Oryctolagus cuniculus: one gene and its partners. The protein of the gene in region 2 interacts with the protein of the main gene of each other region in a pairwise test. Links are inferred from orthologs where the notes say so. Each region holds a gene or a part of one and is shown on either strand. Other genes may lie near its edges.

Region 1 (4,009 bases), on a different chromosome or scaffold from region 2:
TCCCCACATCTTTTGGTATTAAAATGGCCTTTTGTGACAATGCTTGTCTTCTAACTTCCTTTTTTGATAAAAACTTGGCAGCCCCGGTGAGACACTGGTAATTTTGGGGTCCCTTGCCGTTGGGGCAGGGTGGCCATGTGTAGACTGTGGTTCAGGACTGGGGAGAAGGTCTGGGCAGGGACAGCGGAGGGCAGAGAGGCCAGAACTGAGTGGCCGGGTCTTATCAGATTTCATCCAGGCTTTGTCTGCCTCTGGGAGTCCTGGATCCAGGATTGGGGGCAGGTCCCCAGGGTCGGGGGGTAGGGGTGGAGGAATTGTACAAAGCTGGGGGGAGGGGCTGCAGGAGCCAGAGGGGACGGGCACCAAGGTGTGGATGCTGTGGGGCATGGCAGGTCCCCAGGAAGAGTGGTTTCCTTCCACCCACCCCTAGCCCCTGGAGGACGGCGCTGGGTCTCCAGCTGCCCAGGAAGGCCCAGATGTGCTGGGCTGGGGGAGCGGGAAGGCAGCAGGTGGAGACATAGGTTGGTTGGTTTTTTTGACACTTATTTATTCATTAATTTGAAAGGCAAAGCGACCGCTTTTCCATCCGTTGGTTCGCTCTCCAGCGGTCGCAAGCAGGGCAGGGCAGGGCAGGGGCAGGCCAAAGCCCGAGGCCGGGACCTCTGCGTGGGGTTAGGGGCCCAAGCACTTGGGGCATCGACCTGGGAGCCGGAGGGGACGCTCAGCAGCAGGGTCTCCAGCCAGGCGCCGACGTGGGGTGCTGGCTGCGCCGCCAGGATGCCCCCAGGTGTCCTCTGCCCTAAGAGGCTGGGGGCAGCTGAAAGGGGCCAGGTCCAGCGGCCCCGAGTGCAGCCAGCCTGCGCCCAATCTGGGGGTGGGTTAGCGCCCGCAGGTGCCCTAGGGACCTTCGTGCGGGCGGGGCCGAAGCGCTGCCCTAGTGCCGAGCCCAGGGGGCGTCCCCGAAGTGGTGCCTAGGCCGGGGGAGACCCTGACAGCGACAGGGCGGGCCCGAGCCCGCGCCCAACCTCCCGGCGAGGCCGCGCGCGAGGGCGCCAGGCCTGGGGGCTCCGGGGCGCGCCGCGAGCTCAGCCGTCGCCGCCCCCTCCCGCCCCTCCCCCGCCGGCCCCCGCCCCTCCCCCGCCGGCCCTCGCCCTCCCCCGTCGGGGGCGGGGCCGGCGGCTCCCGCGCGCTCCGGCCCCTCCTCGGCCACACAAAGGCCCGTCTCCATGGCAGCCGCGCGGGCCGGAGCGCAGCGGCGAACGCGGCCCGGGCGCCATCGAGCCTCGGCGGCCGACGTGCAGGTACGAGCTCGGGGCCGGGGCCTGCGGGGCCGCTTAGCTGGGCTGGGGGCTCCGCCGTCAGCGCCGCCCCGCCTGGCCCGACGCGCTCCGGCGCGCGACCGGGAGGCGGCTGCGGCTCGGCGGAGCGCGGCTGGGGCCTGGGCCGCCGTCTGGGTCCCGCGGCTGCAGCGGCTGCCCCCGCCCCACGCGCCTCCAGGTGGCGGCCGGGGACGCGGTGGCCCGCGTCCCTCGGAGCCGCTCCGGACCGTGTCTGGTTCCGGATCCTCCGCCCCACCCACGCCCCCGCCTCCTCAGGCGCGGAGATCCGCGCCAGAGCGAGGGGGGTCCCGGCCGTGTATGGGCCCCGGGCCCAGCCTCCCGCGCAGCCCTCGCGGACTGCCGACTTCGCCCAGGCTTCCCCGCGGTCCGGCCTTGGCAGGGGTGCGGGAGTGGGAGAGACCCGCACCCAGTGTGTGCGCAGCTCCCAGGCCTGAGCCTGCTTCCCGCGGGGTGTCTCCGGTTCCTGGTGTGGTTCCCGTTGGGTGGGCACCTGGGACCCAGGAAGTCTAAGACCTGGCTGGCGGGTGGGGGTGTGTTCGGTGGTTTGGCCTTGCCCTTCACCGACTGGTGCTGCACCTCCACATGCCTCCTCCTGCAGGAAGCCCTCCTGGATAGACCCTTCCCGCCACCTCTGTCCTCAGGCTGTTCGGCAGAGCTCTGGCTGTGGGGGGGCATCCTGCCTGTCCTGTATGGGAGTCTTTGACCTCAGGAGCCCTGGAGCTTTCCCAGCTCCTTGGATAAGGAAGGAAGGCTGTGTGTGCCTGCCATGACCTGTGGCAGAAGCCAGAAGTGGGGGTGAGGCTGGAAACTCCCTCCTCCAGTCTGGCTTGTGCCCCCCCCACCCCGTGCGGAGGGCTCTCCAGGTGACAGCTCGAGACCCCGAGCCCAGATGCTTCCCTGGGGGCTGGACAGCAGCCCCGCCCCTGCCCGGAGGGGAGGAGGGCGGTCAGCTCGCTGCTATCTCCGTGCTGTGTCAGCTTTTAGTGTCCGGGAGAAGACAGCAGCAAACAGGTGGGCCTGGCTGGCCCGAGCCAGCTCCCACACCTCCGCTCACACCCCCGCCATACCTCCGGACGCCGCCTCCGTCTGAGGTCTGGCCGGGGGCTCCCGGCTGCAGGAGGCCAGGGAAGTTACTGAGTTTGGAATGTGAGGCCCCCCTCCCCCGCCGGCTGCCTGCCAAGATGGAATTATTTTGGATTATCCAGCCGTGTCCAGCCACCCGAGAGGGAAAGGCCGCAGCCTGCAGCCGTGGGAGAAGGATCCATTTCCGGGCGGTGGGTGAGAACCCCTGGAGGGAGACCGGGCGAGTCTGGGCAGCTCCTCCCCTCCTGAGGCTGCTCAGACCGGCTGGGGGTGGGGCAGGAGGCGATGCGTCACCCCTGGATTGGAGAAGGCCCCGGTGTCAGCTCCGGTGGGCCCTGCTCAGCCTTGCAGGGGGCCCAGGCCCCTCCAGGGGAGGCGGTGGGCAGAAGGCGCTCTCAGCCAGGGGAGCCCTGGCTTCGAGAGCCCCTGAGCCTTGCTCCTCTTCTCACCCCGAGTTTGGCAGGGTTGTGGTTAAAGGGAACAGCCTGCCGGGCTGGAGGGCCCCCCCCCCCCCCGTCTTGTCTGCTGGTCGGCAGCTGAGGGACTGAGGCCCTCCCCAGCCCAGCCCTTGTCTGTGGACTGCTGTACTTGCATGTGGTCCCTGTCAACCCGGCCCACAGGTGGGGAGACTGAGGCCACAGCTGGGTCCCTGCTGTGAGCTGCTCCCTGGGGCCGTCCCTGGGTGTGCCTGTGGTTCTGTGCCTAGCAGGCTACGAAGGGACTGCAGTGGGGAGGCAGAGCCGGCAGCTGGGGCCCACGTGCAGGAGGCGGGGGACTTGCCGTGCCCCCTGCCCAGGCAAGTGGAGCAGAAGGGATAGGACTGGATAGGCACTGGGTGGGCTTGCAGCTGCCAGTGTGTCCATATGGCAGAGGCCCCAGGACCTAGACCAACCTGGGGCTTCAGCTGGGCCTGGCCCCGCGGGGGTGCAGAGGATGTTGGAGTGGGCAGGGGGTGCCCTGGTGGGGGGCGGCTGTGCCTTCCCCTCCTCTGAGGGGCGCAGGGCTGTGCGGGCTGCCGGGAGCCCCTCCCACCACAGGCTGGTCTCTGCCCTGGCCCCCTGGCTGCAGGGCTAAGCCTCTCTTTCCTGCTGCTGCCTTGGAAGGGGGCCAGGGAGACGGGGGTGAACTGGTGGGCACTGAAACCCAGGCCTGGCCTCAGAGGGCCCCGGAGCAGCAGCCCCTCGCTCCAGCCTCTGTTCTGTGGGTGCAGGGACAGGGAAGCTGGGCACAGTCTCTCCCCGTGTGGTCACAGCTATTTGTGTGTGGGGTGGGGCCTCTGACTAATTCTGGGCAGAGACGGGCAGGTCAGAACCTGTGATGGAGGGGGTGGGAGGGGCCCCCGGTCCCCTCTTCTTTCCAGGGCATGTGGTTCCTCTGCCTTCTTCCCCTCCGTGGTTTCATATCCCCTGACACAGGCTCCTGCCTCTCCCCACCCCCTCTGCTAACCAGACAGGGACCCTGCTCACAGCTGCCTAGGGCCCCCTGTGCCCCGACTTAGTGGCCTTCCTGGCCCTTCCACCTTATCTTGGTCAGGCACAGATGGAAGGGACCTGCGGGACCCCTGCTGTCCTGCCCCCAGCAGGGAC
Region 2 (3,559 bases):
TGATTTGGGTGGAGAGGAGGAAGCAGGTATTAGGAGCCACTCACACCCTCAGGTGGTGATCCTTGAGCATTAGGGGCCTGGACCATCTCATGACCCCCACGTGTTACAATTACAGTCATCAGGGAATGAAACTTGCAGACCAGGCTCTTACGTGGTCTTACAAAGCTAGGGGCTCCCTGTAATGAGCAAAAATGCAAAGCACAGATCAGCCCCACACCTTCCCACCTTGAAAGCTGCAAATGAACCACATCATGGACTCACCTCCTATCTTCCTCGTATTTGGACCTGGAACAAAAGAAAAGAACAGATGACTCACACAGCAAAGACAGAGGCTTGTCGCCTGGGCAGAGGCTGGGAGGAGGGTAAGCTCTTTCTCAGAGGAAGGGCGGGTTGGTGGGGAGAAGGGAGGAGTATGATGAAAGGCCAGACTCTTGGTCACAGCTCTAGAGCCAGCTTGGGGCTCAGTAGGTGAGAGTTCTTCCCTCAAGGGACTCTAATGGCAGAGTGATGATGATGACAATGATGATGACGACAATGTCTTTCTAGTGAAATGGAAGGGCAATGTGGTAAACACAAGCTTCTCGCTTGCTATGTTTTTGGTGTCTGAAGTTATACAGAAAGAGGCTCCTTTTTGTACCCACCTAGGACTGAGTTAGAAGGGCAGAGGTGAGGGCTGGGCATTGTGGAGCAGTAGGTTAAGTCTCCATTCTGTATTGGAGGGCCTGGTTCAAGTCCCGACTACTCTGCTTTTGAATGATTCCTGCTAATGTACCTGGGAAGCAGCAGATAATGGCTCAAGTACTCGAGTCCCTGCCACCTGCCCAGGACACTTGGATGGAGTTCATGGCTCCTGGCTTTAGCCTGGCCCAGCCTTTACTGTTGGAGGCATTCGTGGAGTGAATCAGGGGATGGAAGATGTCCCTCTTTCTTTCTCTCTCCTTCTTCCTCAGTTTCTTATTCTGTCACTATGCCTTTCTTTTTAAGATTTTTTATTTATTTGAAAATCAGAGTTATGCAGAGGACAGGAGAGGAGGAGAGGAGGAGAGGAGGAGAGGAGAGGAGAGGAGAGGAGGTGGTGGGGGAGAGGACTTCTATCCGATGGTTCACTCCCTAATTGGCTGAAGCCAGGAGCCAGGAGCTTCTTCTGGTTCTCCCATGTGGATGCAGGGGCCCAAGGACTTGGGTCATCTTCTACTGCTTTCCCAGGCCATAGCAGAGGGCTGGATAGGAAGTGGAGCAGCCAGGACTCGAACCGGTGCCCATATGGGATGCTGGTGCTTCAGGCCAGGACATTAACCCACTGGGCCACAGCGCTGGCCCCTATGCCTTTCAAATAAATAAGTAAATCTTAAAAAAAATTAAAAAGAAGGGTTGGAGCATCACTGAGGCAGGAGGACAGAAGATGAGAAGGAAGCAACAATACCTTGAGACTGGATCCAAACAAATCTTTTTAGAAGACATAAATGGAAACAGCAGCATCTGAGTGTTCCCCACGGGCCAGGCATCATGCTAAGCTGTCTGTATATACTAACCCATCTAATGTCCAAATAGGCTCGGTCAGTCCTGCCTCCATCCTGGAGCTGGCTGAGCTGGTTTAGTGCCATCTGACTGCTAGGAAACCAAGGCTCAGAAAGATTCAGGGCTTGGCTGAGGGTCAGACGGTCAAGTCTGCAAAGCATTCCTGCTCTGTGTGATCTCATCCATCTCATCCCTGGCCAGACCTCCTCAAATGCCGGATTTGTGTATGGAACGCCTACCCGGTACTGTTTAACATGTCCTCATTTTCTATCTCAAAACTGCTCCCCTGTAACTGTCCCTATTCTGACTGCTGGTACCTTCGCCCTTTCAGTAGCTCAGACAGAAAGAGAAATCCTGAGGGTCTTCCTTGGTGCTTCTCTTTCCTCACTCCCCGCAGTCATGGTGGCTCTAGCATCAACATACACCTAGAGGGGACCTCTTTTCACAGCCTCCACCATTTCTCCCAGTCTGGTTGGCTGGCTGCCACACGCTGTCCTACAGAACCCTCGGCAGAGCCTTCCCCAGCTCTCCTGTCCTGGGCCCCATCTAGTCTCGCACAGCTCCAGTGGCTCTCACTCAGAGAAAAACCCAGAGTGGGTGTGGTTGTCCACAAGGCTCTGCACGGCCACCCCTCCTGTCCCCTCTGGCTTTATCAGGTTCCCTTGCCCTGTGGCTTGTCCGACTGTCCAGGTTAGACTCGCAACCCACGGGCTCTAGTTCTCCTGGTCCTCCCCAGCCTGCTCTACTTTCTCCTCCAGCACTTCTTTGTAACATACTACCCCATTACTTCTTTGTTAAGCACTAATGGCTCTTCCCATTACGATGTAAGCTCTGGAGAGGTAGGGCTGCTTTGTTCACTACTGCATCCCAGGAATGCCGGAGGCAGAACCACATTTGGTACAGGAGAGCCATGAAATTGAAACAGCAGCATTCCCAGAGGCTATGGAGATCATCCAGTCCAACTCTGATCATTCTGTACGTGGGGCCCAGCGAGATAAAATGGCTTGGCCAAGGTCATGCGTTTACTTAGTGAGAAGCAGTACTGGGGCAAAAAACTGCTAAGCCTGGAAATGTTCCCACAAAGCCTGTCACGTTGGGACTCATATCACAGGCACCCCTGACATTTAGAAAATGTCTCTAAAAGAGCATAGCAGGTGTGCCAGCAGCTCCTGAATCAGGTAACTTCAGATTTCTGCGATAATTAGTAAAAGTGATTCCATTTCCCTTAATGAAGTTCTGCAGAAGCTTTATCTATCAGAGACTCGCAGCGCTGGGCTCACGCTGTGTCAGACATGGTCTTAGAGGCAGGAAGGGAGGAAGTTTAGGAAGAGGGCTAGAAAGGAGAAGCAGAAAGCTCACCACATTCCTGGAGCCCAGTGCCTGTCATGACCACCATATTACAACAGGGAGCCCCAAGGTTCAGCAACCCCCATGCACGAGGGCAGCCCTCTGCCTAAGAAACCCAGCTCGCCCTGCACTTCAGGGGAAGGACAACCAGGCAAGAATAGCTAGAGGGAAGCTGGAAAAGAAACCCCTAAAACCTGTCAACCTGTTGGGCATATTTGGTGAGGGTGGGGGGTGGGAGGAGATCTAAAGACTCACAGAATATCTCCAAGGGCAGCCAGCTGCTTCTCGGCCACTTGGCGCTCTCGGAGAAGGTCCCCATCCAGGTCCAGCAGGTCATTTTCACCATACAGGCTGCCCAGCCCCAGAGTGCGTTTTGTTCTAAGCCAGAGAGATACACAGCAAGGAACAAATGTACAAACACTCCTTAGATGCACACCCAGGAGTGAGGCAAACATAAATACACACACACAGAGCGAGGGAAGGGCCAAGAGGCAGAGGTGCTAGGAGGTAGTGCAGGAGGGCAAGGACCCTGGCAAACCTGTAGTCGTGGATCTGTTCCTGGATCTCTGGCATGGCAGCCCCCTGGGCCTCACTGAGTGCACTGCGGACATCCTCACTGTTGCGCAGGCGCAGGTCTGTAGTGGGAACCCAGGGAAAGCAACATGGGCGGGGTGCCCAGGGAGGACAGGCTGGC
Region 3 (3,559 bases), on a different chromosome or scaffold from region 2:
CCCAGCCGAGGCCCCGCCCAACGCCCCCCCCCCCCCCCCCGCAAGCCACGGACCTGCGCAACATCAGCTTCGGGTTCTTGGCCACATACTGGGCCACCAGGTCGCTGAGCAGGGTGCGCAGGATGTCGGTGAAGTACTCGAGCTTGCCGTGCAGCGCCACGGTGAGCAGGGAGGCCACGTAGGCGCGGTCCCGGGCCGAGAAGGTGCGCTGGCTCTCCAGCGTGTGGATGAACTGCAGCCGGAGAGAGCGCCGGCTTCAGGAACAGTGGGAAGCCAAGGCCAAGGCCAGGGCCGGGCCAGGGAGGAGGAGGAGGAGGGGGAGGCACCTTGGTGAGGAAGAGCTTGCTGTTGAGCAGGTTGGAAAGCTGCCCCAGCCCTTGCTCCACCGTGGGCCGCCTGCTCTCGGGCACGCCCAGGTCCCGGTGCAAGGGCGACTCCCGGTGGCCGGGGAAGAAGACCCTCTCGGCGTAGACCCTGTAGTCCAGGAAGGGGATGCCGCTGCCCAGGAGGTCGCTCGTGAGATCCGTCATCTCGGTCATGAGGTCTGTGGAGCAGCAGGGGCTGGGTTTGGCGCATGCGCCGGGAGCAGCTGGGGCGGGGCTGGGGTGGGGGCGAGGGGCTGCGCCCACAGCCTCACCGGTGAACTCCTTCTTGCAGCGGTCACGCACGCTGCTCTCCAGGTTCTCCAGCTGGATCTGGACTTTCTTATAGTCCCTCAGGGCCTGCTTGCTCTTCCTCCTGCTCACACCGAGGTCGGCGGGGATGGCCGGAGGGGCCTGAAGCCCTGCTGGGTCCCACTTGGCCCAGGCACACCCTGGCCTCCCCCAGGCCAGCCCAGCCCAGCTAGCCCAAAACAATTTAGCCTGTCCCATCCCCGTCAAGTCACTGCCTCCCATGCCCTGTGGGACCTGGCACAGTGGAGCCCGGTGTGATCACTATGGCACCCAGGCCCAAGCCCGCCCACAGCCTACTTCTGTAACTACAGATCGTAGCCACCCGGGTGGTTCCACCCTGTCCGTGGCCGCTCTCATGCCAGGTGGCAGATTTGAGTAGTTGCCACAGAGACCACCAGGCCCACCAAGCCAAAAAAATTAGCCCCTGGCCCACTCCCCTGGTCTGTTCTCCCTCGGCCAGACACACCTGGCCACACCCACCTGTACATAAGGACGATGATGATGACGCCCAGGGCCAGAAGTGAGGTGCCCACTCCTAAGCCCACTTGGGCTGCCACAGGGAACGCCACGGGGCTCTCGCCGTCATACTGCACGTGGCCCAAGGAGAAGCGCAGGTTCCCCATCTGCACCTGGATACGGAGGCACCGGTCAACAGGGATCCAGCACACGCCCGACGCCCAGCGCAGCCCAGCGCAGCCCAGCCCGGGACCTGCCCACTGACTGTGAACTCGGGCAACGCATCGGGCGCCTCTCGGAGGGCGAGGTGCCGTGGCAGGGGCTGCTCCACGGGGGGCTCGCAGTACAGGTGGTACCGGGTCAAGGTCTTCACCACGCAGGGGCCGTCCCCTATCATGGCCACCACCTCCTCCTTGGATATCGCAAGGTCCAGATTCTCCCCCTGGCATATAGATGGGGTCACAGATCAGTCATGCCGAACCCAGATCCCAGCCCCTGGTCCCTCAGTACCACTCTGCACGCGGAGCCAACAGCCCGAGATGCCCTCCCACGCTGCCCAGGCTCCCAACACAACCTGAGTTCCCACTGCATCTACTGGTAGAGTAACCAGCTGTGGCCTCAGTGCCCACCTACTGCCAACCTCATGTGCATAACAGGTGCCCTTGCATCTGTGTGAGCCGGGCTGCCAGAGGAGAACCAGCCCAGCCACGGCACAGCTACCACGCACACCAAGCCAGACATACTGCCACTCAGACACCTGCCGGGGTCAGGGTCAGAGCCCCGCCCGTGCCAGGCCGGGCACCTTCACACTGGCCCCTTCTGCCCCGGCCACAGCAGGGATGAGGAGCCGCGGCCGCCCCGGCCTCGAACTCCACGGTCACAGCCTCTCTGCTGCGCAGCAGAGTTGTCCAACAGCGGGGGTGGAGGTGGGGAGATCCGCAGTACCTCCACGGAGAACACACTCCCGGGCTTGTGCCGGAAGGGTGCGGTGGGATCCTCGGGGTTGAGGGGCCGCAGGGTGGGGTCGGCCTCGTAGGAGAAGGGCGAGGGGTTCAGTGTTGCAAAATCGAACACCAGGTTGTCAAGAATGAACTCCACCCGGACCCGGCGGTCCTCGGGCAGGCCCGGGAGGGCGGGTGTGCGGCACACGATGAGCTGGGAGGAGTTCACGCTGCAGGGCTCCTCGAACTGGCAGGAGGAAGACAAGGAGGTAGGTGGGGGGGTGAGGAAAGGCGGGATGCACGCCCCTCGGCTGTCCTCGGGGCGCGGAGTGGGGGCCCCAGGGCAGGCAGGGGAGGCCCGGGGCGCCGTACGCGATGACCGCCACAGGAAGCTCCAGGGGCACATGGCGTCTCGGAGACCACACGGCGCCGCCGTCCCTGCCCGGGGCTGGGCCGCAGCGCTCCGGGGGCCACTGTGACTCGGATTCTTGGCGTCTGCACCACATCCAGGTTCTGGCCACGGACCCAGATCTCACGGCCGCCACTGAAACACAGCGTGTGAGCCACTGTGGCTCCTGTGACCAAGATCCAAGCTCAGCCTAGCCCCAGCCCCATGGCACGAGCCCATCTGTGGCACAGGGTTCCCAGCTCCGTGCAGCCACACCCTTGCCCAGCACCTGAGGAAGCTCTTGGTAGGGCCAGCAGAGGTGACATTGGGATCCGACGTGTACTTGAACTGGCCTTGTTGAAGCTTCCGCTCTGTGGCCCCAAACCACACCGCCACGGAGAGAGTGGCAGGCACCGGGTGTGGGCTGGTCTCGCACTGCAGCTGCTCCGACTGCTGCTCCAGCAGCCTGCAGAGGAGAGGAGAGGGAGGCAGGCCCAGCCCCCTCAGCACTCACGGCGTTCCTCCCCACCGCACCCTGCCGGCCCTAAAGGCTGCTCTCCCACCGCACCCCTCCCTCTGCTGCCTCCCCCACTTCCTCCCACCCCATTGTCTCCCTGGGGTGCATGGACTTCCACAAGAGAAAACGGTCCTCACAGGTGACACGGCTGCTCTCCAACCACCACTTGGATGTCCTCCAGCCGCCCGGTCAGAAGGTTGGAGCCGCGCAGGGTGAGGCGGGTGCCCCCGGCTCTGGGCCCATGGGTGGGGAAGATGGAACGCACCTGCGGGTCCTAGGGGAGGGAGAATAGCAAGAGATAGCCACCATCAGGCCTGGAACAGAGGCAGGGAGCCCAAGACAGACATGGCCCTGGGCGGAGCCCCAGGAAGGGGAAAGCCGCAGGCCGAGGGCGGGGCTCAGCAGTCAGCACCTGGTAGGCAAAGGCAACGTCGGAGACACCGCGTCCTCTTCCCTGCACCTCCACTGTGGCTGGGCCGGTCACCTCCTCCCCACTGGCCCCAGTGACGCACACGAGGCTGCAGGCACAGGGCAGGCTGGGGGTGCTGGGCTGCACTGCGGGCTCCCCAGACGGACCCAGCAG
Region 4 (4,093 bases), on a different chromosome or scaffold from region 2:
GGCTGCTCACCACCAGCAGCTGGTTGGCGTTGTCAGTGAGCTGGGCCTGCGGGCACTCGGCTGGGTCCCGGAACGGCAGGCAGTCGGGACTGTCAGCGACGGGCCCGGTGACAGCCACCGCCTCGAGCTGCAGCTCAGGGCTCAGCTGGAAGAGGTGGTTCACGGCGCCCACGTAGAGTGTACCGCGGCCCGGGGCCAGCGCCAGGTGGTTGAAGGTGGTGTTGGGGGCCGAGAAGCGGTGAGCTCCAGTCAAAGGCAGTGGCTCTGGGGACAGCAGCAGCAGTAGAAGCAGCAGCAGCAGGAGGCCAAGGCCAAACGGAGGCCAGGGAGCCATCACAGGCGCCTAGGAGAGAGCCAGGCAGCCTGGGGCCCATTGGGAGGGAGCCACCGGCTCCCAGGGGGCACAATGACACTCCCCAAAGGCACGAGTCTGGGCAATGGGCCAGGACAGAGGGGGCCGAAAGCAGGGCTGAGACAGGGGCAGGCGGGTGGACAGGGGGGCCAGGGACTCCCGGGGAGAGAGAGGGAGGGGGTGGGGAGGCTGAGAGACAGAGGGGGAGAGAGAGAGAGAGGCAGAGGTAGAGGCGGTACTGAGGAAGGACAAAGAGAGTGGGGGAGGGCGCACCCCGTGCTGCGAGCCGAGCCGGGGAGGAAGGGATTCTTTCATCTCAACTTGACAGGCGTCTGGATTGTGGGAGAGAGGGCAGATCCTGCAAAGCCACGCATGCAGGAACGCAGGCACCGTGAGTGACAGAGGGCCCGGGCTGCAGAGCTGAGCCACCGTGGCGTGAGGAGGCAGGGATGCAATGAAGCCGGGACGCCCAGCCCCGGCGTGGGAGTAGGATGTGGGGCGGCACAGAGTGGGGGAACCATGTCCTCACAGACGAGCCGGGAGGCCCATGCAGTAAGTGGGGACACGCACAACACGAGGGCCAGGCAGAGAAAACCCGCCCCGGACAGCTGCAAGAGGGAGCGTGGGGGGAAACTGAGGCAGCTGGGAGCTGCTGGCTGAGACACTGGCGCACGGGTCCGGAGGTGGCAGGGAATGGGGGTGGTCAGGGCAGGGGTGGGGGAGACCTGGGGAGGGTGCTGCGCGGAGGTCAGAGCGTGCGGTGGGGAGTGAGGGGGAGGGGATCCAGCCTCTCCTGCTGCGGCCACCACCTCACTGCGGGCAGAGCCCCTGGAAAGGGGACAGTAGCCTGAGGCCCAGATCCTAAGCTGAGCCAGTGTGCACACGCCTGGCCGTGTGGGCATGTGCCACCCAGGCCCAGGGCAGCGCCCCAAGCCCCTTATCTCGGGAGCACAGACAGGAAGTTGGTGGCAGTGTCTGCTGGGGCCCTTCCCTCCTAGGGACATCTTTGGGGGACACGGGACCCAGGCACTTACCGGCAGGAAGGGCTCCAGCAGAGGGCTAGCCCAGGGCGGGTGGCCTGCTCCAGCTCCTCAGCTCAGCTGCCCGAGGGCAGTGGGGACAGGCGCAAGATGGCTGTGGGGGGCATTGTCCTGAGTGGGAGGGAGACAGTCAAGGCTCAGCCCCATTCATGCCGGCCCTGGGGGAGGAAGAGGACTGGGCGGGGGGGGGGGAGGGCAAGGGCCTGCCGACCGGGCTCCACCACAGCTGGCAGCTTTGTCACTAGTGGCCGGGCCAAAGCAGCCCTGCCTCCACCCCAACAATGTCCCCTCTGTCCGGAGGCCCAGACCAGGGACCCACTATCTGGTGCTCTTACCCCCACTCGGCTGCTCCGCACGGGGGCTCCCTGCCACACCACGCCCCCAGGAGACACCCCCTAGGATCTAGGGACAAAGGGACAGGGTTTCCTGCTGTCAGCCCTCCCCATCTGGCCTCATCACGCTGTGCCCGCCGTGGGCGCCCCTCCCCCCAGCCCCCTGGGTCCCTGTGAAGGGCACAGGGGTAGGCCTCAGAGTCCCCGGGACAGGGCCAGTCTCAGCCTTGGTAGCCTTGGTGCCTGGTCGCCGTGCCAGCCCTGGCCCTCAATGCCAGCCTTTGTCTGGCTGAGGGCAGAGGAGGTGCTGACAAAGGCAGTTCGTCCAGAAGACCTTCGCCCCCGCCCCCCGCCCGCTGGAAGACTGGCCAAGGAGCACAGAGCCCTGAGCCGTGCCAGGTGCAGTGTGGTGGTAGCGGGCGGTACCAGTGAAGGATGCTGCACAAGGGGCGTGGAGGACACTCAGTCACCCGGACCCCAACCCGTGGCTGGGTCTGCCCCCGCTGCCAACCCCCACCACCCATGTTGCCGGTAGGGAATGGAGAGCCACAGGGCCCGTGGTACAGGCACAGGTGTGGTTGGGTTGGGGTCTCCGCCTCCCCCACAGTGCATGGCAGCAGGCTCCAGGGTGAGGGGCAGGGCGGGCTGCTGCCACCTGGCTGGGCCAGTTGGGTGGCTGTGGGGGTGGGGAGCCAGGCCGGCAGCCTCCCTGCTCTGCACCCTACCCAGGGCTGGCACTGGCTCCTATTTGGGGTCGGAAGCCCCTGTTCCCAACCTCCTGGTGCCAGGGCCACCCCCTGGTGGGAGGTCACCAGTGTGGGGAGGTGAGGGCTTAGCGCCTGGGTGGCTCCTGTGCGCCCTCGCCTGAGCCCAGCTGCTCCTCAGTGCGAGCACGCCCCGCCGCGGCACCCCTCGCCCTGGCGGTCGCAGCGCCCCGTGCCCGCGCCAGCCCCGGCTCCTGCCTACCTGGGCGGGCTGCCGGCGGGGACCAAGCAGCAGCTGGCAGCGCCAAGACTGCGTCGCCGAGCAGCCCCAGCCTCCCTCCCCACAATGCAGTCGCGTCTAGCCCGTCTCATCCCCGCGGGGCCGGCCGGGCGGTCCAGCCCCTCCCAGCCCGCCCCTTTGCCCGACACTGCAGGGCAGGGCGCTGCTTCCCTCTGCTGGCCGAGGCAGGCATGGCAGAGGACTGACCGCAGGCGAGGGTGGCGGTGCCCCGCCCTCCATATGTGGGCATTCTGTAAGCTTCCACGAAGTGCCTACTAGGTGCTGTCACTAGAGTAACCCGGAAACAGCGTGGTGTGAGTGTTAGCACATTTACTCCTCCCAGCAAGCCTGGCTCACAGGTTGGGAAACTGGAGCACAAGTGTGTCAGAGGCAAGACTACTTGTTGCGGCCAGTGCTGTGGTGCAGTGAGCTAAGCCTCTGCTCGCGGTGCTGGAATCCCTCCCATATGGGCGCCAGTTCAACTCCTGGCTGCTGCTCTTCCAATCCAGCTCTCTGCTATGGCCTGGGAAAGCAGTAGAAGATGGCCCAAGTGCTTGCGCCCCTGCGCCTGTGTGGGAGACCTGGAAGAAGCTCCTGGCTCCTGGCTTTGGATCGGCACAGCTCCAGCCGTTGCAGCCATCGGGGCAGTGAACCAGCAGATGGAAGACCTCTCTCTCTCTCTCTCTCTCTCTAACTCTACCTCTCAAATAAATAAGTCAAATATTTTTTAAAAATTAGAAATAATTTATATACCGCAAGTTCCAGCCATTTAAAAGTGCACAATTCATTTTTTTAAAAGACCATGTGTTAACCACAGGACAGGCCCCCATACTAGACCATCAGGGTAGGTAGCCTCGAAGCATGAAACTTGGCATATGGGTGCCCAGGTCTGCAGTCACAGAGGGGGTTGCATGGTGGGGAGGAGGCAAAGGCAGGAAAAGCCAGGAGACCGTGCAGGTGGGGAGTGGAGGACAGTAAGGCAGAGGTGCCGATGAGGCCGCTGGGCTGTTGAGGCCAGAAGCTGTGTTTGTGCACTGGAGGTGGCACAGGTCACTAACAGGACTTGAAGGGGTCTGGGGATGAGGCCGAGGCAGAGGGACCCACAGGCTGAAGGCCCAGCAGATGTTTAGTTCCTTCGAACACCACAGAATAAAAAAGTTGCCCAGATGTAGGTGTGTCTTTTTTTTAAGAGATTGATTTATTTATTTGAAAGTCAGAGTTAGAGAGGCTGGGGGGGGGTGGGGTGGGGGACACTTCCATCCAATGGATCATTCTCCAAGTGACTGCAATGGCCAGGCTGAAGCCAGGGACCTGAAGCTTCATCTGGGTCTCCCACATGGGTGCAGGGGCCCAAGGTCTTGGGTCATCCTGTGCTGCTTTCCCAG

Evidence for each region.
Region 1: the proteins of ARHGEF11 (region 2) and PLXNB2 interact in a two-hybrid assay, tested with the Homo sapiens proteins (2 studies listed by BioGRID). The link is inferred for Oryctolagus cuniculus from reciprocal best matches to the Homo sapiens genes ARHGEF11 and PLXNB2.
Region 3: the proteins of ARHGEF11 (region 2) and PLXNB1 interact in a two-hybrid assay, tested with the Homo sapiens proteins (2 studies listed by BioGRID). The link is inferred for Oryctolagus cuniculus from reciprocal best matches to the Homo sapiens genes ARHGEF11 and PLXNB1.
Region 4: the proteins of ARHGEF11 (region 2) and PLXNB3 interact in a two-hybrid assay, tested with the Homo sapiens proteins (2 studies listed by BioGRID and IntAct). The link is inferred for Oryctolagus cuniculus from reciprocal best matches to the Homo sapiens genes ARHGEF11 and PLXNB3.

What each region holds. Positions count from the first base shown.
Region 1 is NC_091442.1:123,247,722-123,251,730, reverse strand, and holds the start of PLXNB2 (plexin-B2), read left to right. Parts: upstream 1-1,155; 5' UTR 1,156-1,301; intron 1,302-2,313; exon of another isoform or gene 2,314-2,614; intron 2,615-4,009.
Region 2 is NC_091438.1:41,862,912-41,866,470, reverse strand, and holds part of ARHGEF11 (rho guanine nucleotide exchange factor 11), read right to left. Parts: intron 3,501-3,559; coding exon 3,404-3,500; intron 3,244-3,403; coding exon 3,121-3,243; intron 286-3,120; coding exon 262-285; intron 1-261. UniProt on the Homo sapiens protein: May play a role in the regulation of RhoA GTPase by guanine nucleotide-binding alpha-12 (GNA12) and alpha-13 (GNA13). Acts as guanine nucleotide exchange factor (GEF) for RhoA GTPase and may act as GTPase-activating protein (GAP) for GNA12 and GNA13.
Region 3 is NC_091441.1:100,640,861-100,644,419, reverse strand, and holds part of PLXNB1 (plexin-B1), read right to left. Parts: intron 3,495-3,559; coding exon 3,389-3,494; intron 3,251-3,388; coding exon 3,114-3,250; intron 2,926-3,113; coding exon 2,749-2,925; intron 2,616-2,748; coding exon 2,444-2,615; intron 2,319-2,443; coding exon 2,076-2,318; intron 1,573-2,075; coding exon 1,396-1,572; intron 1,304-1,395; coding exon 1,155-1,303; intron 739-1,154; coding exon 638-738; intron 545-637; coding exon 327-544; intron 233-326; coding exon 54-232; intron 1-53. UniProt on the Homo sapiens protein: Receptor for SEMA4D. Plays a role in GABAergic synapse development. Mediates SEMA4A- and SEMA4D-dependent inhibitory synapse development. Plays a role in RHOA activation and subsequent changes of the actin cytoskeleton.
Region 4 is NC_091453.1:132,124,033-132,128,125, reverse strand, and holds the start of PLXNB3 (plexin-B3), read right to left. Parts: upstream 2,830-4,093; 5' UTR 2,691-2,829; intron 1,795-2,690; exon of another isoform or gene 1,728-1,794; intron 1,504-1,727; 5' UTR 1,387-1,503; intron 344-1,386; 5' UTR 335-343; coding exon 1-334. UniProt on the Homo sapiens protein: Receptor for SEMA5A that plays a role in axon guidance, invasive growth and cell migration. Stimulates neurite outgrowth and mediates Ca(2+)/Mg(2+)-dependent cell aggregation.